4 linked regions of the Caenorhabditis elegans genome follow. The protein of the gene in region 1 interacts with the protein of each later gene in a pairwise test. Each region holds a gene or a part of one and is shown in the gene's direction. Other genes may lie near its edges.

Region 1 (8,819 bases):
ATCAAATTAATGTCCACCCAAAAATCTTCAAAAACCATTTAAAACCTGGTAATTGTAGAGATTATTTGGAGACTCTCGATGCAGATTCCGGAAAATAAAATATGAAAAGTGACCATTTGAATGATTTTAAATAATCGTACGAACAATTTGTGAAAAAAAGAAAAATAAATTGGAATACTCTTTTTGCTTTGGTCATTTTTACCAGTATTGTCGATTATGGGGTTATTCAAGTAATGTTGCAAAATGTATTTAAATACATTTGTGACGTCACAAATGTATTTAAATATTTTTATATACTTGAATACAGTTGTGACGTAATTTTTCTACATTTTTTAATTTTCCGACACTACTTGAATAACCCCATAAGTGAAAAAGACAACACGTGAGATGTTTTGAGATTTTTTCAAACAATTAGTATATATTTATTTTAATACAATGCTCAAAATAGCAGGTGCTCAAAATAGCCAAATTTCAAAAAAAAAAAGATTTTCAAAAAAAAAAAGAAAGAAAGGTGGCAGGTGTTGTATCTTTCCGGTGCAGAACGAAAATGCTTTCTTTTTTTTTTCCCCGCTCATTTATGTTCTTCTACTGCTTTCTGTCTTTTCTGTTGCTCATTTCAATTAAGCCGAGCCGCCTCTGGATTGAGTGTGCGAAGAAGAGCACATGGCTCCCCGCTTATCAATCTTGCCTATTCTAATCCAATTTTATTTTCTTTATTCCTTTTCTTTTCGACTCTCGTATACATCTACACATTCTACACATCCTCTTTTTTTGTGTTGCTTCCTATTATTATTCGTATCATTATATAGAGCTTTCAGACGTCTTATTCTATTCTTTTCTGGAAAATTGTGTGTGTGTGCCAAAAAAAGAAGAAGGGTCGAGTCTTCTTTCTCTCTTCTTCTTCTAGTATTTCTGCTGTGCCACAGGGTATCGATGTTTACAAAGTAAATGACACACACACACACACACACACACACACACACACACACACACACACACACACACACACACACACACACACATACACATTTTGAAGAGCCCTCTCTTTTTTCCCTCATCTCACTTTCACTTTCCACTCCTTTTCTCCCAGTTTACTTGTCTGCGTCCAGCCACTTTTATCCACTATTTTGCACCTCTCACACGCATAAAAAGTTCAGTTTCAATGTCTTTTTTCCAGTTTCCTACTCTCTTTTTCCGGGGGCACCCCAATATCCTTTCCTCTTTATGTTCCTTCTATCACATCTCTCTACACTGTTTATTAACAAATAGGTGTGAGGGAAAGAAAGAAAAAGAAGAGAAGGAGGAGGAACATGATGATTTCAAACAAAGTTCACATTCATTAAAAAATCAAACATTCATTTTCATTTTTGATACGATCTTTCGATACTGTGTTCTTGAATTTCCCTTCACAAAGTTTGGTAATTTGATTTATTTTAGACACCTACATTATTTGGTAAAGTGGTCGTGGAAGGCACTGTACTCTATTGCTTGAGTCCTAGGCTCCGCCCATATATTGGCCTGTTGAAATTTACAATAAAATTTCAACTTACTGAATCATTTTTTTCTGATTTCCCAACAAAGTTGTTCGCAATTAAAAAAGCCTAAAAATTCCGAAAAATTGCAAATTAAAAACAAATTTGCATGTTTTTGAAGCAATGCACTTTCAGACTGAACATTCAAATATTTGCATAGATTTCACTTGTACATTTCAATTACCAAATATTAGAAAATGTGTTAGTTGATTTTTCTTCTTAAATGATATAACTTGAGAAATACAGTTTTCCGAAATTTCACAAAATCCCGAAAATCCCAAAAAATAGTGAAAATCTCATATTAGATGTCGGAAAATTTTTTCGGGAGGTCTTTAAAAATGTTTATCGAATAAAGTAAAATTTATTTGTACAGTGAACCCAGTAAACGTACTATTTAAATTTATTTTAAATTCTGATGAATGGGATTTCCAACAGATTATTTTTCTGACAATCTTTTTGACAATTTATCTTCAATTCATTCCAAAATTGTGAACTACATACATAGATTTTTGTATCTGGAAGTTGTCCTCCTATTAAAAAGTTTTCTTACAATAACATACCCCGTGCATTACAATTAGTATTGTTTTTCATTAGACATAAATTTTCCCATAGGTATTTCTGAAACTTCTCTTGCCAAATAAAACAGTGCTGAATTTCGTATAGTGATACTTAAAACAACTTCCTTAATTCCCATTAGATATCTTGAAGTTGTTTTTCTTAACTACTTATTATATTGTCTGAAGGAAAAAATTCACGGGCGTCGGAAAACAATGATTTTATCAAAATATTTTCCGTCTATCATTATTATTATTATTATCGGAAAAATTCTTGATTGACTCATTTTTCTTGTCTTTTGCCAGTGTCTTGCAATTCTCAGCATGCTGTATAGAAACATTTAAAAATTTTCTCTCTTGCCATATGTTGATGATTTTTATAACTTATGAATATTTTCATTTGACTTTTTAATCGAAATTTTTCTTTTTTTTTCCAGAGTCTTCGCTCCCTCACTCTTGGCCCCTTGAGCGTTCGTCTCCCCCACAACTCCATCGTTAAATCATAAAATGCGAATGTCCGATGTCGTCGACGACATCGTCGGTGAGATCAGCTAATCGGACACGTTCGCTGTGCCACCATCTACATCATCAACCGCTGCTCGTCTCTGGTTCGTCCACTGGCTCACCACCGATCGGCGGTTCGATGGATGAAGGATCTTCTGCGTCGACTTCTTCGTCGGCGACTGCTCGAGCGCTCGACATGTTCAATCGGCGAGGTTCAGTGCTTGCTGTCGTCATTGCAGGTTTTGTTGTGCTCTTCTTTGCTCACCTCTTGTTATCCCCTGCTTCCAAATTTGATATAATTAATTGGAAAGTGATTTTTACCTGATGGTGTACCCCAACTTTAAAATTCAAAAAAGAAAATAAAGTTTGGGTTTTCTTACCTACTCGCCAGAGTGTCATAACAAATCCATAATAAGTAAATAAGGCGAGGAAGCTCTTTCGTTTGTCCTAATGAATCACCAGAGATCTTGAATAATCACTGTCTGTTATCAGTCACTTTCCAAATTATTTATATCTTATTTGAATCATCAGCTAACCCTCTCTCTCCTCTTTCTCTCCATTTCACATCACATCCGGCCCATTCCCAATGGAAAAGTACTCGTGCTTAATTCCGACTCATTCCCAATTAGCAGTCGGTAACCGTAGGTAACGTGTAGGCGTTGTATACATGTCGAAAACTATCGCATCATTATTATTATTCAATCCCATTTTTCGCTCCTAAAACTTCTTTTTTCGAAGATAAATTAGGTGATTTACGTGAAAGAGAACGGAGATTTCGCGGCGACTGAACACTCCTGCAAGAATATTCCCCATTTATTATTCTAACAGTTTTATTTTGTCCTATGCACATTTTCTTGCAAATCACTTTACTAACTTTTTTTGCACTCGATTCTGCATAATGGGAGACGGTAGTTCCGTCTCCAAGATCTGTAATTATTTAAAACGAGTGAGCAAGTCTCCACGAGGTGATGATTTGATTTGATAGTAGTCGGAAAGTGTGTTGGTAAATGCTTATTTACTTAGAGATTACTCTGAAAATCAGAAGCTCTACCTAGCGATTAAGTAAATAACTATTTGCCGTTGGTGTGCTGTGATTTTGAGTGATTCTGATAAAAATACAAGAGATAGAAGGTGACGTAGTGTTTGATAAGAATCGAAATTCTAAAAAGGCTCCTTACCTGAAAAAAAATATATATATATATAACTGGTCGGTCGTACTGTCCTGAAACATATTTAGCTTAAAAGTAAATCCAGAATTTTTTTTTTAGAAAATTCCATTCTAAGATTGTGCAATATCCCAAAAAAAAATCGTTTTTCGACTTTTCCAAAATGAAAACAAAATTGAATCATAAACTTTTTTCAAAAATAATTTGGAAACAAGTTATAATACAGAATGTTTAGTGACACTCTACACAAGCTTTTATGATGCCTTAAGATACAAAAAATTCACTTTGAAATTTTTCGGTAAATGTCTTTGACTTTGCGGACAATTCAAATTTCTCATATTTTCACATCGGTTCAAACTAGAAAGTCTGCGTTGTCAAACCCAACGTAATTATGTATGTATTTTGAAATAGTCTATAGTTGTAGAAGGTAAACATGTAGAATTGATCTTTCACATTTACTGTTATCACTAATTAAAAATATAATTTTTAGTATAAAAGTTGATCAAAGCTCAATGTTCAATAGCTTGTTTTTTGAAGAAAAACAAGACGATCGGTCAAATTATCGAATTCTCATTTGAGATTTGACTAGTTCAAGTTTTTGTTCTTATCCAACACGAAATCATCGACTGTTATCCTATAATCATTGATCGCTTCTTTGCAAGAAAAACCCAAAAATGTTTATAGGAAATACGGCCGCCGATGTTCTTCCACCAAGCGCAGGAGTCCCAAATACTTCAGCAGTTTCCTCTTCCAGTGGAGTTATCAGTGCGGATCAACCATCATCCACGAATTCAGACAATGATACAGAAACATTTAATGAATGGCGACCACCGTTTCCCCGACTATCAGCATATCAAGATTGTCTATCTCTTGCCGCTGCATGGGGACTTGGTATGCATCCAAATGGTCTTGATGACAAACCAACTGGAGCATCACAAGCACAATCACCAAGTGAAGATGATTCGGGTGATGGGAAATTTAATGAATTGCTTGCCAGTTGTCCAGCATTTAGGAATGAATTGGGCTGGGAACCAACGCGGCGTTTTGCGCTCTCACGACACACATTCGATATGGCTCACACGGATGCGCACGAATGTGAGACGTGGATGCGAGAACATTCAGCATCGGAAGCTGGCATTTTGGAAGACGTCTCCAATGTATATCTCGGAGGAAGATTGTGTGCTGCTAGGCAGCCGAAGACAGTTATTGAACCACAAGACATCGGGTCGTATTACTATCGGCACTGTTTTATCTCAAAAAGTTAGTTGTATACCACGAGGATTTTTTTGAACATTTGAGATGTTATAAACTTTTAAACTAGAAAGACATAATTGATTTGATAGTTGATTCATATTTAAAATGTATTTCAGATCACATCGAATATCTTGGAATGGATGACATCCTTGGCCCCATCAGTATCTCAATGGTACGAGAAATTGTTGATCGGAAGGAATCGTACTCGATTTACAGAATGATTGTTCGAATTTCAGATGTAATTAAATTTTTGCAATTTCTAGCTCAACAATGTTTACATTACAGCAAAAAACAATTCGTGTAGCTGTTCCAGAGGAAGCACTCTCAACTCCAGAAGGATCAGATCGAGCAACTCGTCCTCTAATGCGAGAACTTCTTGAAATTGTGTGCCCGAAAATAAGCTTTGGAATTTTGAGACCATCAATTCAGTCACCGAGAGTTGAAGAGCTCATTATGAAGATTGATGAGCAACCAATTTATACTCGATATAAAGTTGGAATAATGTTGTGTAAAAACGAACAGAGTACCGAAGAACAAATGTATAATAATGGTAAGGAAAATTATTTTTTGAATAATATCGAATCTTGAAATATTCAGAGTTTTCTACACCATCATTCGACGAGTTCCTTGATTTCCTTGGTCAACGGGTTACACTTAAAGGATTTGAAGCTTACAAAGGAGGCCTAGATACACGTGGCGACACTACTGGAACTCATTCAATCTACTCCGAGTATCAAGCTCATGAGATCATGTTCCACGTTTCAACACTACTTCCGTTCACTCCGAGTAACAGGCAACAACTCTCCCGAAAAAGGCACATTGGAAATGATATGGTCACAATCGTATTCCAAGAACCTGGAGCGTTGCCATTCTCACCAATAACTGTGCGTAGTCATTTCCAACATGTGTTCATTATTGTTCGGGTTCACAACGAGTGCTCTGAAAATGTGACATACAGCGTGGCAGTCAGCAGATCAAAAGATGTTCCAGCATTTGGACCGCCCGTTCCAAAAGGAGCATGCTTCAGCAAGTGCGCGGAGTTTCATGATTGGTTATTAACAAAAAGTATGTTTGAAGAATTGTTTAACTTCTAGTTGTTTAATTTAAATTTAATTGATTTTAGTTATCAACGCGGAGAATGCTGTGCATCGGTCAAAAAAGTTTGCTACAATGGCTGCAAGAACTAGACGTGAAGCTCTACGCGACCTAGTCGAAAACTATGTTGGACCTCATCAAAATGAAGGCGCCAGCAAAATAGCCAGTAGGTTACTTACACAGAGGATTTAAAATTGGACAAACCCGATTTTCAGGTCGATTCCTAGGAGGAAGTGTGAAACGAAAAGAACGTCACAATCCAAAGCCAACAAATCACGTGATGCGAGGAGCACTCTCGTGGCTTGTTGATGTACATGATTACTCAACTAATCAGAGAATTAGCTGTGTACTTGGGGTTGCTCAAGATTGGATTGTACTTCTCGAAAGGCCATCTGGCACTGTATTGTTTTCGACTCCAACTCATTCAATTATAGGATGGGCAACCAGTGACACTGGGTAAGAAGACTTCTTTAATATTTTTTCGCAAATTCAGTTAAAAATAAAATCATTGTTTATTTATTGAACATTTTTCAGACTGAAACTCTATTATGATCATGGAGACCAACTGCTTCTTCGTTGCTACTCTGAAACTTGTACCGACTCAGAGCTCAACGAGTTGATCCGTCGTCTTGAAAATGTCACAAAAGGCGATGAAGCAAAGGAAGTTGTGCTTCGAAGGTTAAAGACAACAGATAATTGGGGATTCCATGTTCAAGATGAAGGAGTTGTTACTGATGTTGAAATGTATCAATTGGCTTGGAAAGCAGGAATTCGCCAAGGAAGTCGTATTGTTGAAATGGATTCAATGCCAATCAGTACTTTATCATTTGATAAGATTTGCGATCAGTTGGCTGTTTCTGAATGTGTTCGTTTGCTTATGATTTCTCCATCATCGGATGGAAGCCCCCGTCGTGGATGTGAAGATCCAAATTGTCCAGCTGTAAAGGGAATCGAACAGATGCTGACTCCAGATGCATTCGCCAAGCAGCCAATTACGTGAGTTTTTAGGCGCGTTACAAGGTTTTCATCGCGTGTGGCAGCAGGTACCACGAGATGTTCCGTCAGAAGAAGCTCGAGTACCCGACGAATAGCGCGAGCAGCAGTCCGGCATCATCTTTCGACGAACGCACTTTCAGTTTCACAGCCACCAAAAAGACCATTGAACAGCGAGCCAACAATATGTGAGCCTTGATCTACTATCCACTTTAATGTAAGAACCTATTACTAAACAATGAAATAGATTCAGATCAAACAATCGTCCGAACACGTTGTCGAGTGCTAGCGTCCATGACAACATGTGCACGTTACTGAATCCTCCAAAATATCTCAACAGAGCTCAGTCTGATGAACAACTTCGATCTCCGCTTATGGACGAGCTTAATCGAAAAGTTAGTTTCAGAACTTTAGGAATTTGGAGGAAACAGTTGACTTTTAGGCACCACTCTCCGCACGCGAATCTACAAATGAGAGAGAATCGAGTGAACTTGTTAGAATTCAAACTCATTTGGAACGTACTGTTCAGGAAAAGCGGGCACTTGAAATGCTCGCACAACAACTTAAAAAGCAACTTATTCAGGTTTGCGATTTTGCTATACCGTTTATTATTATATCATCTGGCTATATCTGAATTTCATCCAATTTGGGAGTATAGGAAATATTTGAATGCCTACAAGACAACATCTGAACCGATTTTCATGCGATTTTCATTTTTCTATAGACTTCTCCAATAATTTAAGAATTTCTGGTAGAAATCGGTTTTAATTCCAGGAGCGCCAGTCGCATGACAACACAAAACGAGAAATGGAACGCCTGAAAAAGATGTACGAGAAAAAGTAATTTCAATTTAATTTCTAACCTTTTTTGTGATAGTTGGTTGTGAGCTAGTTCATTTTTCTAATATAAATTCTGTCATTCTTTCCATTATTTCTTTCCCTTTTTCCTCTGATCTCGTCTTGACCTTTTTTGTCATTATCATGTATCATTCTTATTGTGATCAACTGTTTCTCTTCATCCCAGTTCTAGTTAAAGTGTGTTCTTGAGCCTCCCCCTGCCCATGAGCTCCAGTGCCAACCCTTTCTTCATTCACTCATTTATCAAAAATTATTTCTTTTTATTTTCAAATTTAACTGTAAAAAATGTGTTTTCCCAACTCTTCAAAATGTTCATTACCCAATTAATCAGCCAGTTTTTTTTTTCCGATTTCCATCCGATATGTGTTAAGATTTGATACATCTTGTCATTTTTGTACTGTATCAGTGAACTTTTCATTTTTTGAATATTCCCTTGTACTGCAACACGCCCAAAAAGCATTAGATGTGAAATTGGAACTTCACGACGAAGACCGAAAGTATTTCGCAACCCATTTTCTGTGTTTACATCTTATAAACCGAATTAGATGAGCTAATTGGTTGAATAATTTAGACCGGGCACAAAAGTACGGGATGAGCATGAAGATGGGAACCGACCCGCTTTTCGGCTTTCCGGGAAATGACGCCAGTTTCAAGGAAGTGTGTGGAGTCAGCTTAGAGTGTGAGAGGCCTCAGATCTTATTTCGACGCGTATAGGTGATCAAAAATTGTGTTTCGCGTTTACGAAATGAAGAGTTAGTATTCGTAATGTACTTTCTCAAGAATCTTATCCTCGCAGAAGTTCAGAAGTTCCCGTATTACTTCATTTATTCCAATGGATTTACTTTGCGCGCTAATTACTTCCTG
Region 2 (5,636 bases), on another chromosome or scaffold:
TCGTATATTTTGCAAACTTTATGAAGACACCCAGTTTAAAAGAATTGAATGTTTTTTGAAATTTACGACTGTTTCCGATAAGTTACTCGTTTCAGACAGTTTAATTAAATCTTCAATTTTGCCAAATGCTTATTTGGATTACGTACTTATTAGTTTTTTTCTCGGATAAACAAGGAAAATACCTAGTTTGGAGTATAAATAATTTTTTAAACGTTAAATTTTTAGTAAATGTTTCGTAGATGAATTTTTGTCCCTCATAATGCTTGACGGTCGTCTTTTTTCAAGAATTACAAAAATCACATTAAAAGTTGAAAATAGGTTTTTAAAATATACAAAAAGATCATGACAAACACAATGATACAGACATCACATTAGATTTTTGACTATACAACGTGTTATCTGATAAGAACATGGAATTCAAGTTGCGTAGCTGCAGCAAACATTAGTGGCATGACGTTTTACTGGAAAGATAACCTTCCATGTTACTGCGACTAGTTTCAAATTTGGTGCTTAATGACCACGTGAGACTTTGTTGCGTGTTTTTATTTTGGTGGCTATGTTTTTCAAAAAATTTACCTGTCTGACAAATAGTAACAAACACATGGTAACTGATCAACCGTATTTATAAGATTTTAGAATTTTCAACAAAGTTAATTTTCTTTATAGAATAATTATTATAGTCACTGTTTTTACTGTGGTTGTATAATGTCGTTCTAAAATAAAAATAAAAAACTGTTCTGCTGAGTTCAGTAATAAAACTTTGTATTCATTTATACGTTTTCATGTTTTCGACGTTTTCATTTTTGTTTTCGTTTCCACGTTACGTTCCACGTTGTCACCTTTGTAGATGTAGAGATGATTTTGGTGCCTGCTCTGGCTGAAATTGAAGAGTGGTGTATTTTTGATCCATTACATTTCAAGAAAACATGTAAACTTTAAGAGACTTTAATCTATACATGTACATTGCCAGACAGTAATACTTTTTCAAAGATCAGTAAATACCCAATTGAATCAAACGAAGAAATATGACGTCTTTCTATCCACCCACTTATCCAATGCAAGACTCTGTCTATTCTCTCTCATTTTTTCTCACCCAGAGCGAAAAAATGCCTTTTGGTTTTCCAACTCTACGCTCATTTTCTTCTTCATACTCAACATCCTATCTGTTTGGCGGGAAGAGAGTCAAAGAAAAAAGGGAAATAGAGTTGTGTGTCTCACGTTGGAACGGCATGCAAGAAGGACACAACAACGCTGCACACTACACGCAGATGGGTCCTCTCTCTCTCGTCTTTCCCTCTGACAATTCCATTGATCCATCGTTGTCTGTCTCTATGTCCCGGGGAAACATAGAGAAGAAGAGAAAACCTTCTTGTTTCCTCGTTTACCCCTACTGATAATTTCATCCAACTCAACCTTTTTTCCTCTCGTTGGCCCCTCTTGTTTTGATGTGACATGGATGCACGGAGCTTGATTGCATCCAATTGTTATCAATATTACTTTAGTTTATTTTATATGTGATTATGGGAGTAGTTATTTTAAGAGGCCGAATTCCTTTTTTTATGTGAAATCTCGTGGGTTTCCCAATTTGAAATTAATGTTTTTGGCTAGTACGCTGTTCCAGTTTTTTGTTTAAATTAACATTTATTCCAACTGATCATGCATTTGAAAATACGAATATAAAACAAAATCTTTGATATTCCTGATCCCTCGGCAGTCTGAAATTTGAATTCCTATCTTTGTTTTTTTAGGAAAACCTTACAAGTAGCCTCTGATCGAATCCGCCATTTATTTATTATCAGTTCCCTTTCTGTTTGCACTTTTCCTGTCTTCACCTCCTCCGATACTTTGTACCTTATCTTTTCTGCGAACAATCTATTCTCCACTTTTTGCCCAACCACAACCACGTTGCTGGCCGACGATCTTTGAGAGACAGCGTATGTCCATCTTTCTGCCTCTACCGTTTCTAGACATATTTTAAAGCTTTTTGTTCAATTTTTGGTTTTCGACGGTTTTAAATCATTTCATATACCTTTTCTCAGATGTAGTAGATATTTTCTGTCTAGGTATCACCTCATTGCCACCCTCTCATTCTTGCATTGAATGCGCGTAGCCTCTTGTGCAAAGGAGAGGGCAAAGTCCGCAATGTGTCGTAGCGTCCCGTGTGTGCACACAACTGTTTGTGTTGTTGTCTTCACTTTTATCCTATTTCCATCCCTATTCAGTTTTCATTCTTTTCTATTAATTTTCTACTTTTAGGTTATTCGCCAGTTTCAGAGAAATCATTATATTTTTCAGGAAAAAAAATGATTGGAAGAATCAGTCAGCCGCTCCTCAACACCTCACAGAAATTCATGGCGCCGGCCGCCAGAACACTTATGCTCCATGAGCATCACGGAATGAAGATTCTGCAGAATTATGAGATCAAGGTGCCACCATTCGGAGTTGCTCAGGATGCCGAAACCGCTTTCAGTGAGGCTAAAAGAATCGGTGGAAAGGATTACGTCGTCAAGGCTCAAGTTCTTGCTGGAGGACGTGGAAAAGGAAGGTTCTCGTCCGGACTTCAGGGAGGAGTACAAATTGTCTTCACGTAAGTAGCCATTCCATTCAAATGTTTAAATTGTCAAATATGTTAATTTCAGCCCAGATGAGGTGAAACAAAAGGCTGGAATGATGATTGGAGCTAACCTGATCACCAAACAAACGGATCATCGTGGAAAGAAGTGTGAAGAGGTACAGCTAAAAAATTCAAGCTGAGTGATAATGTCGTGAGACGCTACACAATTCGATACAAGTTAATTCTTGTAGCTCAGCTGTTTTTCGAGACAAACAAGTTTTGATGAATTCGTACACACTGTGCAAAAAATCTAAAAAATGCAGATGAGCCATATCTAAAAATTAGATGAATAGGAATTGAAAAAAAAACTTCACTGCCGTACAAAAGATAAATCACATTTAATATATTCATTTTTAGTTAAACCGATAAAAATATAAATGAATGTTTTAGGTGATGGTTTGCAAACGCCTGTTCACCCGCCGTGAATACTACTTCTCCATAACTCTTGACAGAAATACCAATGGACCAATTGTTATTGCTTCTTCCCAAGGAGGAGTTAACATTGAAGAAGTTGCCGCCACCAATCCAGATGCCATCGTGAAGATGCCAATTGATGTCAACGTCGGAATCACTAAAGAGCTTGCTCACGAGATCGCCGTTAAGATGGGATTCTCGGTACGTTATTCAACGTTGGATTATATGAACACGTAGTGCAAACCTAAATATAAATATGCCCCAGGTTATATTCAAAAATACTTTAAATTTTCAGAAGGACTGTGAACAACAAGCTTCTGAAATCATTGAGAAGCTCTACCAGATGTTCAAGGGATCCGACGCTACTCTTGTCGAAATCAACCCAATGGCCGAGGATGTGAACGGAGATGTCTACTGCATGGACTGCAAGCTCCTTCTTGACTCCAATGCAGAATTCCGTCAAGCCAAGCTTTTCGATCTTAAGGATAAGAAGCAAGAGGACGAGCTCGAGGTAAAATAAGAGTCGTATTCAATTGAATTGAATGGCTGGCGGAGAAAACGGAATTCCCTTAGGAATTGCGCAGATAAAAGCAATAGTGCATATTTTCCCTTTTCGGATAACATTAAAAACACTCATTGCCAAATTGAACTTAGCAAGTGAAATTCAGCTATTCAAATATTGAAGAGCAGATCTGAAGCTAATTTTTTTAACGCCAGTAACCAAATATTGCTGGAAACTTTTATACATGTAAACTTGTCGTTAAACATTTGAAACTTGTACAAACGTAGTTTTTATGAACCATCGTTTAGATCCGCGCCGCCGCTGCCAACCTCAACTACATTCGTCTTGATGGAACCATCGGATGCATGGTCAACGGAGCTGGACTCGCCATGGCCACCATGGACATTATCAAGTTGCACGGAGGAGAACCAGCCAACTTCCTCGACGTTGGAGGTGGTGCCACCGTTGAACAAGTCACTGAAGCTTTCAAGATCATCACCGCTGACAAGGACAAGGTCTCAGCCATTTTGGTGAACATCTTTGGAGGAATCATGAGATGCGATGTCATTGCTCAGGGAATTATTCAAGCTGCCAGAGAGTTGGACCTCAAGATCCCAATTGTTGTCAGATTGCAAGGTTTGTGGAAACTGCTCAAATTATTTTTTTAAACATAATTTTTATTTATTTAGGAACAAAGGTTGAAGACGCCAAGGCTTTGATTGCCACCTCCCAACTCAGAATTCTTCCATGCGATAACCTCGACGAAGCCGCCAAGATGGTTGTCAAGCTTTCCAACATTGTTGATCTCGCTCGTGCCACCAACGTCGATGTCAAATTCGAGCTTTCCATCTAAAAAAGTACACATTTACTTTGAATTTAATTTTCTCCGGTATGAAAATGTTACTTTCAATTACAATTTCATTTTCCATTTTACTGTAACATTTACCTATCCAATCTCTCACGTAAATAATGTCACTGGAATTTTCAATTATTCCTAGTCATTGCAAAGCAGTTTTTTTGCTTTCTTTCTTAAAAGTGTTTGGTAGATTTTAATGTTTTTAACGAGTACGCTATTAGTTTTTTTTTTACTTCGTTCCCCGTTTTTATTTTATTGTTCTCTTATGAACGTTCTTCTCTTCATTGCTTTCTTTGTAGCTCACACAATCAGTCTTCTCATTTTGTCCAATAAACCTTTGTCCGACATTCTATAGACTGATGACTAACTTTGATCATTTCTGCATCGAGACCGTGTGATGATGAAATCATGTCTCATCTCCCACGTGGTAATAAAATTAAGATAATGTGAAGAGAGGAATCCGGTTGCCTGGTCGCCGAGTTGAGGTATCATAAAAGTTTAGTGCCCAATTCTGATCTATGCCGCACCTTAGTCTGATGTTTTATCTCGTTTTCTTCCGCATCAATTATAGAGCTGTAAAGTCGGTATGAATATCAAAGAAACAAAGAACCAATAATACAAGATCAGTTGTTAAACTTACTCACAATAAAAAGGATGACGGTGGTTTTTGAGATTTAATTTTTTTAAACAATGCCACTTATTTAAAATAAAAGTTTTAACTATTTACGATTTTATTTGTAGCTTTTTAATGTTTTCATATGTATTACTAGAAAACTGAAACCAGAGTATTCACAAAAATTTATAAATCGAAAATTAATCACAGCAACAGATAGGTTGAGACCATACAATGCTCATATACTGCTAGAAGTCGATTCTTGCGCAAGTGCCGTATGGTACTGATTTCCTATAGTTGTAAAGGGGCATGTATAATTTTTAAGATAACATTCAAATATTTTGTGTTTGTTCTAGTTGAGTGTGTTTCAAAGACATTTTACAGGAAACCTTTTAAGCACTTAAAATGCCCTATCAGTCTTTAATGCTAAGAGTCAGACTTTAGCATCTTGTTTCTTGGTTGTTTTCTTCTCTGGGAAACTTACAATGTTTAAAACATGTTGTAATGTTTTGTTTTCTTTAAATAATTTAACTAGTTTTAGTTTTAAAAAAACCAAGATACAAAAAAATTGGAATGTATCAATAAAATCACGATGAAATATGACATATTCGGAGAGTATCACTTGAAGGTTCATTGT
Region 3 (4,155 bases), on another chromosome or scaffold:
TTATTTTTTTACATATATTTTCCTATGATCTTTAACTTCACCGCGCTTTTTTGTTTGTATTTTTTGATCGACCTTGACAATTGCAACTTCAATGTAGGCGACAAATATGACGTGTTGAGTGTGTACGAAACAACTTTTTTAGTTGAAAATTGAAGTAATTTCTATCACTTTAAACATTTTTCCAAACAAAACTTTTCTATGTGTACATCAAAAAACGTATAATTGTTTTTAAAATTCAGAATTTAACAGAAAATTGAAAAATGTTAATTTTTTAAATTTTTTAACAGCTATATTCGGTAATTACGGTCTATTTTCTATCTGTATTTACCGAGTATAACTGTTAAAAAAATTTTGCACAAATAAAAAATATATATTGATTTTTGAATTCCCGCGCAAATGAATTACCTATAATAGTTTTGAAATTTTTCAGGCAGTTTCCCTGCAAAAAAATATATAAATTCATGTGAAACCATTGATTTTTAGCAAATTTTTTCCGGAAGGAAAAATCGGATAAATCCTAATCAAAAATAGCTGGAATATGTCAAACTTAGGTAATTCATTTGCGCGGGAATTCAAAAAATTATCTCATTTATTCCATTTTTTTGCGAAATTGGCAAAAAAAATTATTAAAAAAATGGTCATTACGGTTTATCTGTCATTTGTCATTTTTCTAGTCTATACTGGTACTGTAGGAGTACTGTAGGGGTACTGTAGAAGTACTGCAGGGGTAATTTACTAGGAAAATTGCAATATTAGGTAATTCATTTGCGCGGGAATTCAAAAATAATTTTCTTATTTATTCTATTTTTTGCTAAATTGAAAAAATTTTAAAAAAATTTAAAAATTTCTTTAATTAATTAAAAAGATTGCAGAAGTTACCAATATCCTAAAAATTCAGAGGAAATTTTTTTTTCAAAAATATACACAATTAAAAAAAATTCCGGAATAATGAGCCGCTCATTTCAGCTTCATCAATTCTTTGCACGAAATTGACAACTTAGAATTCAAATGTTGTGTATATTGTCCAGCTATAGTAGGCATTTTTAGGCAGGCAGGAAGGAAGGCAGGACATTTTCTAGCTTCTCTGCCTCCTTTCAATATTTCCCCATTTTCCCCGAAGCTCACTTTTGCTTTTGACAAGTTGTCAAAAACAAAAAAAAAAGGTGAGAGAGAAATGTATAATTTAATCAGTTGGCTGGTTACCAGTATGATATCAGATATTATAAGGCGTACGTCGGTTGCCATGGGGGACACGCGCCGGAAGGTTTTTCAAAACTTGAGTTCTCACAACTCAAAGTCAGTGCCTTTCTCTCTGTCATTTTGATATTATTGGAACCTGACATTTTTCTAGAATCAAAAAGTTTGTGTTAACCAGATGTTTCTTCTGAGTTTGACGCTTGCAAGTGACGGAGTTGACAGCTTAATTTTTTACTTTTGTTTTGGAAAATTTATATTTCTTTCGTTTTAGGCTTAGGCTTAGGCTTGGTCTTAGGCTTAGGCCTAGGGTTAGGTTTAGTCATAGTCTGAGGCCGAGGCTTAGGCTTAGATTTAGGCTTAGTATTAGGGTTTGGGTTAGGCTTAGGCTTTGGGTAGAGTAGCTTAAATTTTTTTCTAGTGTAGCTTAATTTTTTCTCGGTTCTTATAGTGCTAAATCAACCAATTATAGTAATACAACTTTTGAAAAAATTCAGAAAATTGTTTATTCCAAGCTTAGGCTTTTGCTTAGTCTTAGGCTTAGGCTTAGGCTTAAGCTCACAATCAGGCCCATGTTCAGGCTGAGGCTTAGGTTCATTCTCAGGCATGGTCTGAGACTGAGGCTTAGGCTGTGGCTTAGGCCTAGACTTAGGCTTGCGCTCATGAGATTTTTTCAAACAATTATCGATATAAATTTCTCTTCCTATGCTATAATTCCTCAGAGATTGTCCACTGACTCACTCGCCATATGGTGATCGAAAATTTGTCACTAGTAAAAGTTCACATGCCCTTCAACTTATCCCATGTGCCATTTTTTTGCTATATTCTCTGAACTTTAAGCTTTCCGCATTTTCAATTTTTCAGTCAATCAAATATACAATGGACTCCAAGGGCGCAGCTCCACCATATCCACAGGCTCCACCAGCATACGCTGAAGCACAGCAGCCGCCACCAACAATTATTTATCCACCAACACAAATGCCACAACAGGGACCGGGACAGGGACCGGTTAGTTGAGATATGGTGCTGAAATGGCCAAATTTCAGAATTATAATTTTTTTTTAATTGGAATTTTTCCAAAATTTATTTCGAGTCAAAAATTGCGCCTTAACTAGGTACATAAAACTGGAACAAGGTGGAAAAATTTTCAATTTTCGAAATATAATTAGGTTTGAAAAAAAAAGTACACGACTTTCCCACGCGTTGTCCGGCTTGTCAATGGAGCGCAAAAAATTCAATGAGGAAGGGCAGAATCCCGTGTCAACATAAACAAAATTCGATAAAAATTGAATTTTTTTGTCTATTTCTGAAAATTTTTATTTACTATTAGATTTCTCGATTTTCCGAAAAATCAAAAATTCTTTTAAAAAAATAAATCTATAAATATAATTATGTACAGTTGAAAAAAATTCCGAAAAAAAATCTCTGAAATTTTCAATGAAATTCGGGTAAGTTTAAAACTTGAATTCTGAATTTTTACAGGTCTATGTGGTTCAACAACCGCAGGAAATTATCATCGTCGGCACAAAAATGGCTCCATCCTTCGAGCCGTACACCGAGTTCTGTCCTCGTTGTAATGTGAGTTCCTAAAAACTAAAAAAAAATTTTTTTCGACTCCAATTCCCCCAAAACAATCCAAAAAAATTTCAGACAAATGTATGCACCAGAGTCGAGCGTACAATGGGCTTCTGCTCATGGACAATGCTCTTCCTTGGGCTCTTCGTGTTCTTCCCACTTCTGTGCTGCTTCTGCCTTGACGGATTCAAAGATTCGAGACATTCATGTCCAAATTGTGGAACTATTCTCTCTTATAAGAGAAGATAATTTTTTCCCAAAAAATTCTGAAATCTGTAAATTCTGTCTTCCCCATTGAATCCCGTTGAATCCAAATACCAAATCTCCAATTATTTTTTGAAATTTTTCAATGAAAATTTCATTTGGTTTTTTTTTTAGTTTTTATTGTTTCTGCAGCAAAAAAGGCATAAAATTGAGCTTCTGGAGCTCGTAAATTTCACAATTTCCTTCTCCAAAATTTTCATTTTTCCAAATGCTCAATGTGAACAGCTGTGCTCCAAAATCAGAAGAAGTTAAATATGTGGTTCATAAAACGCCATATCTCGAATTTTGCACAAATTGCCAGGTAGGTAAAATATTATATTTCAAAAATTTCCAAAAAATTTTTCAATTTTCTGGAAGAATTTTGCAAAAAAAAAAACTCAAATTGGTTTTATTGCGTCAGGTTTTCTGAGAAAATTAAAAATTTAATTTCGCGCCAACATTTTTTTTTCGAAAAATCATAACTAGAATTTACTGCCAAACTTGTTTCAAAAATTGATCTTCGCCACAAAAATTTTCCAAAAATTATAATTTGATTTTTGCGCTAAAATTTTTTCACAAGCCCAAGCCTAGGCCTAAACTTAACCATGAGCCTAAGCCTAAGCCTAAGCTTGAACCTAAGCCTAAGCCTAAGCCTAAGACTGAGACTAAGCCTAAGCCCAACCAAGCCTAAATAGCGTAGCTAACGCTCGCCACTGACGCCAAGCCTAAGCCTAGGCCTAAACTTAACCATGAGCCTAAGCCTCAGCCTGATCATAAGCCTAAGCCTGAGCTTAAGCCTAAGCCTATGTCTAAGCCTAAGCGTAATATTGTAGAATTCGAGTTTTGGGCGCAAAGTTTTAAAACAGTTTTGAAAAATTAAAATTTCCAAAAATTCCTGGTATTTAAAAATATGAATCTAAAAATGAATCTTCTATTCCAGGAAACCGTGACTACAAAAACCGAGCAAGTATTTGGAATGCTGAACTTTGCTCTATTCATCACCTGCCTTTTTCTTCCCTGTTTTATCGTTTGCTTCTGGTGTCGCTGCTTCATGGATGTTCACCATAGATGTCCCAATTGCAACAAGTCACTTGGAAAACGAGATCGAATTTGATTAATAAAATTATAATTTGGAATTTGGCA
Region 4 (4,634 bases), on another chromosome or scaffold:
TAAAATTTCGGGAACCATAGTAAGGCAAAAAGTACAAAATGTAAATTTTTTCGTTGAACAGAAGCCATGTGGTCTTCCATTCAGATTAAGACGGCAAAGAGAGAGTAAGCGAAAGAGGACGAGCGTTCAGATAATCTCATAAATCAGCATGTAATGGGGTGAATGGGGCGGAGAAGGAGGAGCTCGGATGCTTCTTTTGTGTTTATTTATGTGAATAGAGAGGTAGAAGAATATGTATATATTCATCCCCAAGAGATGTTAGAGGATTTGCAGATTACTTTTAGATTATTAATGAAGATATGAGAATATAAGAGACGAAAAGTACATGAATACAACAATTTTTCTAAAAAATCACGAAGGCACTATCAACTAACTGATTACTCCTTACAATGATGATATTTAACAATTTTTGCAACAATCTAGAAGTACCGCATGACAATACCAATTGAAAATTGTTAATTGTTAAAATGGGAGTCACATATAAAAGAAAAACTAGGACATTTGTAGTGAAAATGTACAGCTAGAAGGCATAACTTCTGCCACTCCCGTTCTTAATCAAAAATTAGCCTCGATTAGTGTCTTTATGAAAGTTTCGATTGTTCTGATCATCTACAACTGAAAAAAGGGTCCCATCCAGTCAGTTACCACCAATTGAATTACAAAGTGATAATGATGTCGTCGTGTGCCGATAACAACGTCTAATCTCTATTACTATCAGAGGTTGATTATAAACAATCAGGGGCACTAGACACAGGAAAGAAAAGGATGCAAAAGTTGTGAAGAAGGGAATCAAAGTCTGAGGGGGGGGGGGGCGATTAAACGGGCGGATAGTGAATGCGGCGGCCGCACACACACATAGGGACGGGCATTTGGAGGAATGTGACTAGGAACAACACAGAGGCGAAGAGGACAAGAAATAAATCGGACAGTCTGTGTAGAGGCAAGAAATTGGAGGAGGAAAAGGCGAGGGACGGTGCGGAAAAGCACCGCCAAACCACTGCGAACCGATCAATAATACAACGGAAGGTGCTGCGAAGAAATAAGAGAGGAACGGAAAGTTGAGACGCAGGTTGATTGGGTTAAAGATTGCACTGATTGCAGAGAAGACAGAGAATCGAGTGAAGATTGGCTCAGGAAAGAGTTGATTGTTGACATTCCCATTGGAAAAAAACAGATATCGAAAAAATGTCTAGGAGCAAAAAAATATTTTTCATTATGGGAATTGTTGTGATGTTATTGCTATTGCAAGGTTCTGTTGTTGTATTGAAAGTCAGCTAAAAAATGGGGAATTATTGAAAATATATTGTATTCAAAAATTCTTCAAAATAAAAATGACTTTTTTGAATGAAAAAAAAACTTTAAAATAGTGATGTTGGCATATCAACGTAAAATTTAAGATGAGAAGGTATTAAACATTATAAGGAAACAACTCGAAGATTTTCAAGCACATACCAAAGTTTTCACGGACAATTGGCCAATTTCTACAAGAAGTCAACATTTTTGTCGCTTCGTCAATTTGAAACCCATAAAAGCATGACTAAGCTGACAGGAATTCCACGAAAAAGCAATAGATATGCGCAAAGAACTAGTCTCGTCAGATTTTTCTGGCAATATCTCATGCAGTAATCTTAATATGTCTTGCACACATGCAACCCCGGATGCTGAAATGTTAAACTTTAAAATTCGAGCTCGACACGATGAATTTGAATGGATGGAGAATAATTAGAACTAAACCCACATTACATTGATTTTAATGTAAAAACTAAAGTATTTTTGCTTTTAAATGAGAAAATAATAATTTTTCGAAGAAATCAAACCAGTTTTCAGAAATATTAATTTTAAGGCTCAAATAAATGGCTCGCTAAACTCGAAAACAACTGTCACAATAAAAGCTAAACATAAATAATTGAATAAATAAATAAGTAAATTTAAAAAAGTGTCAAAAACTGCTTCATAGATGCAAATTTACAAGAAAAAGTTAATTTGTTCCGTAAATTCGTTAGTTGGCAAAGTGCCAGGTTAAAGGCGCATAGACTTTCGCTGTGGGGTCTCGCAGCGACTCACCCCTTCTCCTCTGCTGCTGGCTGGCTAGTTTGACGCGAATTTTTAGGACGATTTTTCCTTTTTTCTGTATTTTTCTGTTAAAGCAATGATTTTTTCAACATTTTCAACATTTAATAATTAAAGTGGCTATGTTTTTAACATAATTCGAACAAAATTATGGTTTTCGTTCGCTCTATTCTCCAAAATTTTCATTTTTTTATATGGAACATTTTTATTTTTAGCAGATCGAACGGGGTTACACAGATAGCAAAATGGTCCAAGAGCAAATGAAGCTTACCGGAACCCTCGAGGGTCACACCGGATGGGTTACCCAAATCGCCACCTACACCCGCAACGACAAGACCACTGTCCTGTCATCTTCCCGCGGTAAGTCAATTAATATAACGTTTTCAAATTTATACTCACATTTTTCAGACAAGACTATCCTTGTTTGGGATGTCGACAGCGTTGCTCCAGTCGATGAGGGACCAATCGGTCGCCCAGTTCGTTCGCTCACTGGACATAACCACTTCGTCTCTGACGTTGTCATCTCCTCCGACGGACAATTCGCTCTTTCTGGATCCTGGGACAAGACCCTCCGCCTCTGGGACCTCAACCAGTAAGTAATTCAATAAAAAAACATTGTGCAAACAATTTTATAGGGGAGTGAGCACCCGTCAATTCATCTCCCACACCAAGGATGTTCTCTCTGTTGCCTTCTCTGCTGACAACAGACAAATCGTCTCTGGATCCCGCGACAAGTCCATCAAGCTGTGGAACACTCTTGCCCAGTGCAAGTACACCATCACTGTACGTTTTTTCAAATTCTTTTATAGGAAGATTTATCGAAACTATTGTTTAGGATGATTGCCACACCGATTGGGTTTCCACCGTTCGTTTCTCTCCATCGAACCGCGATCCAGTGATCGTCTCCGCAGGATGGGACAAGGTTGTCAAGGTCTGGAACCTCGGAAACTGCCGTCTGAAGACCAACCACATCGGTCACACCGGATACGTCAACACCGTTACCGTCTCTCCAGATGGTTCCCTCTGTGCTTCCGGAGGCAAAGACGGACAAGCTATGCTTTGGGACCTCAACGAGGGCAAGCACTTGTACACCCTTCCAGGAAACGACGTCATCAACGCCATGTCCTTCTCTCCAAACAGATACTGGCTCTGCGCCGCTGTCGGATCTTCCATCAAGATCTGGGATCTCGAGGACAAGAAGGAGATCGAGGAGCTCAAGCCAGAAATCGCCAGCTCTGGAAGCTCAAGAGGATCCAGCCCACAGTGTATCTCTTTGGCCTGGTCTCAAGACGGACAAACCCTCTTCGCCGGATACACCGATAACATCATCCGAGTGTACCAGGTGTCGATCCGTGCTTCCAACTAATTTGTTACCTGTTAATTCAAAACCCTTCAATAAAATTGTTGATATAATTTTGTATTCAACCATGTCAGATAAATTATTCGCGTTAATCAAGAATATCTAGCAGATGATAAAACAGCAAGGTATACTTGTTATGTTAGAGATGACGGATCGTAATGAGTTGATCGGTGTTGCAATTCGAGTAGTGGCGGCGGCTGCAGTTTCATTTCTATCAGTGCGCTATCTAGTCAAGTACTTGGATCCAAATTATAGTGTGAATGAAGAAAGCAAAAAGAAGGTTTGTAGATTTACAACACTAATTTTGTTTTTTTAATATACAGGTGGCACAGCTGTTTCATGAACTTGGTATCGATCGTCAAATAGAACTCTCAGAGCACGAAATTAGAATCGCCACGCAGTTTGTTGGCGGAGAAGACGTTGGAGCAGATTGGGATGAGATCGGTAGAACAGAAAATTGTTTCGCAAAAAAAAAGAAAAATTTTACAGGTGGCTGCGAAGAACTTGTTGCTGAACTAAAGGATCGCATTATTTTACCCTTGAGATTCGCATCGCAAAGTGGAAGTCATTTATTGTCTCCTCCACGTGGAATTCTTCTTTATGGACCACCCGGATGTGGAAAAACTCTTTTAGCGAAAGCAGTTGCAAGGGCAGCTGGATGCCGGTTAGTTATTCATAAATGCAGAATTGACCTGTTTTAAATATTGCTACCTTTCAGATTTATCAATCTTCAAGTGTCAAACCTAACTGATAAATGGTACGGAGAGTCTCAAAAACTTGCGGCCGCTGTTTTCTCTGTTGCTCAAAAGTTTCAACCAACAATTATTTTCATTGATGAAATTGATTCGTTCCTCCGAGACAGACAATCTCATGATCACGAATCAACAGCAATGATGAAGGCACAATTCATGACATTATGGGATGGATTTTCTAGTTCTGGAGATCAAATCATTGTTATGGGAGCTACAAATCGTCCACGAGACGTTGATGCTGCTATTCTACGCAGAATGACTGCAAGATTCCAAGTTCCAGTACCAAATGCCAAGCAAAGAAGTCAGATTCTTAATGTGATTCTCAGGAATGAAAAGATCAATAATACTGTAAATCTCGGAGAAATCGCACAGGCAGCAGAAGGTCTTAGTGGAAGTGATTTGAAAGAGGTTCGTGCTTTTTTTCTTTTTAAAATTTTAATCAAATATATTAC

Evidence for each region.
Region 2: the proteins of sipa-1 (region 1) and suca-1 interact in a two-hybrid assay, tested with the Caenorhabditis elegans proteins (one large-scale study listed by BioGRID).
Region 3: the proteins of sipa-1 (region 1) and Y37D8A.6 interact in a two-hybrid assay, tested with the Caenorhabditis elegans proteins (one large-scale study listed by BioGRID).
Region 4: the proteins of sipa-1 (region 1) and rack-1 interact in a two-hybrid assay, tested with the Caenorhabditis elegans proteins (one large-scale study listed by BioGRID).

The regions. Positions count from the first base shown.
Region 1 is NC_003283.11:11,630,994-11,639,812, reverse strand, and holds sipa-1 (Rap-GAP domain-containing protein), read left to right. Parts: upstream 1-2,521; 5' UTR 2,522-2,606; coding exon 2,607-2,829; intron 2,830-4,440; coding exon 4,441-5,016; intron 5,017-5,126; coding exon 5,127-5,248; intron 5,249-5,295; coding exon 5,296-5,560; intron 5,561-5,607; coding exon 5,608-6,075; intron 6,076-6,133; coding exon 6,134-6,271; intron 6,272-6,320; coding exon 6,321-6,561; intron 6,562-6,639; coding exon 6,640-7,101; intron 7,102-7,145; coding exon 7,146-7,286; intron 7,287-7,345; coding exon 7,346-7,493; intron 7,494-7,540; coding exon 7,541-7,681; intron 7,682-7,872; coding exon 7,873-7,941; 3' UTR 7,942-8,380; downstream 8,381-8,819.
Region 2 is NC_003284.9:10,896,774-10,902,409, reverse strand, and holds suca-1 (Succinate--CoA ligase [ADP-forming] subunit beta, mitochondrial), read left to right. Parts: upstream 1-2,295; 5' UTR 2,296-2,303; coding exon 2,304-2,587; intron 2,588-2,639; coding exon 2,640-2,730; intron 2,731-3,004; coding exon 3,005-3,229; intron 3,230-3,323; coding exon 3,324-3,539; intron 3,540-3,838; coding exon 3,839-4,166; intron 4,167-4,219; coding exon 4,220-4,383; 3' UTR 4,384-4,732; downstream 4,733-5,636. UniProt on the Caenorhabditis elegans protein: ATP-specific succinyl-CoA synthetase functions in the citric acid cycle (TCA), coupling the hydrolysis of succinyl-CoA to the synthesis of ATP and thus represents the only step of substrate-level phosphorylation in the TCA.
Region 3 is NC_003281.10:12,855,815-12,859,969, reverse strand, and holds Y37D8A.6 (LITAF domain-containing protein), read left to right. Parts: upstream 1-2,058; 5' UTR 2,059-2,073; coding exon 2,074-2,202; intron 2,203-2,676; coding exon 2,677-2,772; intron 2,773-2,844; coding exon 2,845-3,018; 3' UTR 3,019-3,137; downstream 3,138-4,155. Other genes in the region: Y37D8A.26 (LITAF domain-containing protein), read left to right, coding at 3,242-3,334, 3,953-4,126.
Region 4 is NC_003282.8:10,174,395-10,179,028, forward strand, and holds rack-1 (Small ribosomal subunit protein RACK1), read left to right. Parts: upstream 1-2,285; 5' UTR 2,286-2,315; coding exon 2,316-2,430; intron 2,431-2,478; coding exon 2,479-2,662; intron 2,663-2,705; coding exon 2,706-2,853; intron 2,854-2,905; coding exon 2,906-3,436; 3' UTR 3,437-3,481; downstream 3,482-4,634. Other genes in the region: mspn-1 (Mitochondrial sorting homolog), read left to right, coding at 3,576-3,710, 3,754-3,874, 3,920-4,094, 4,149-4,590.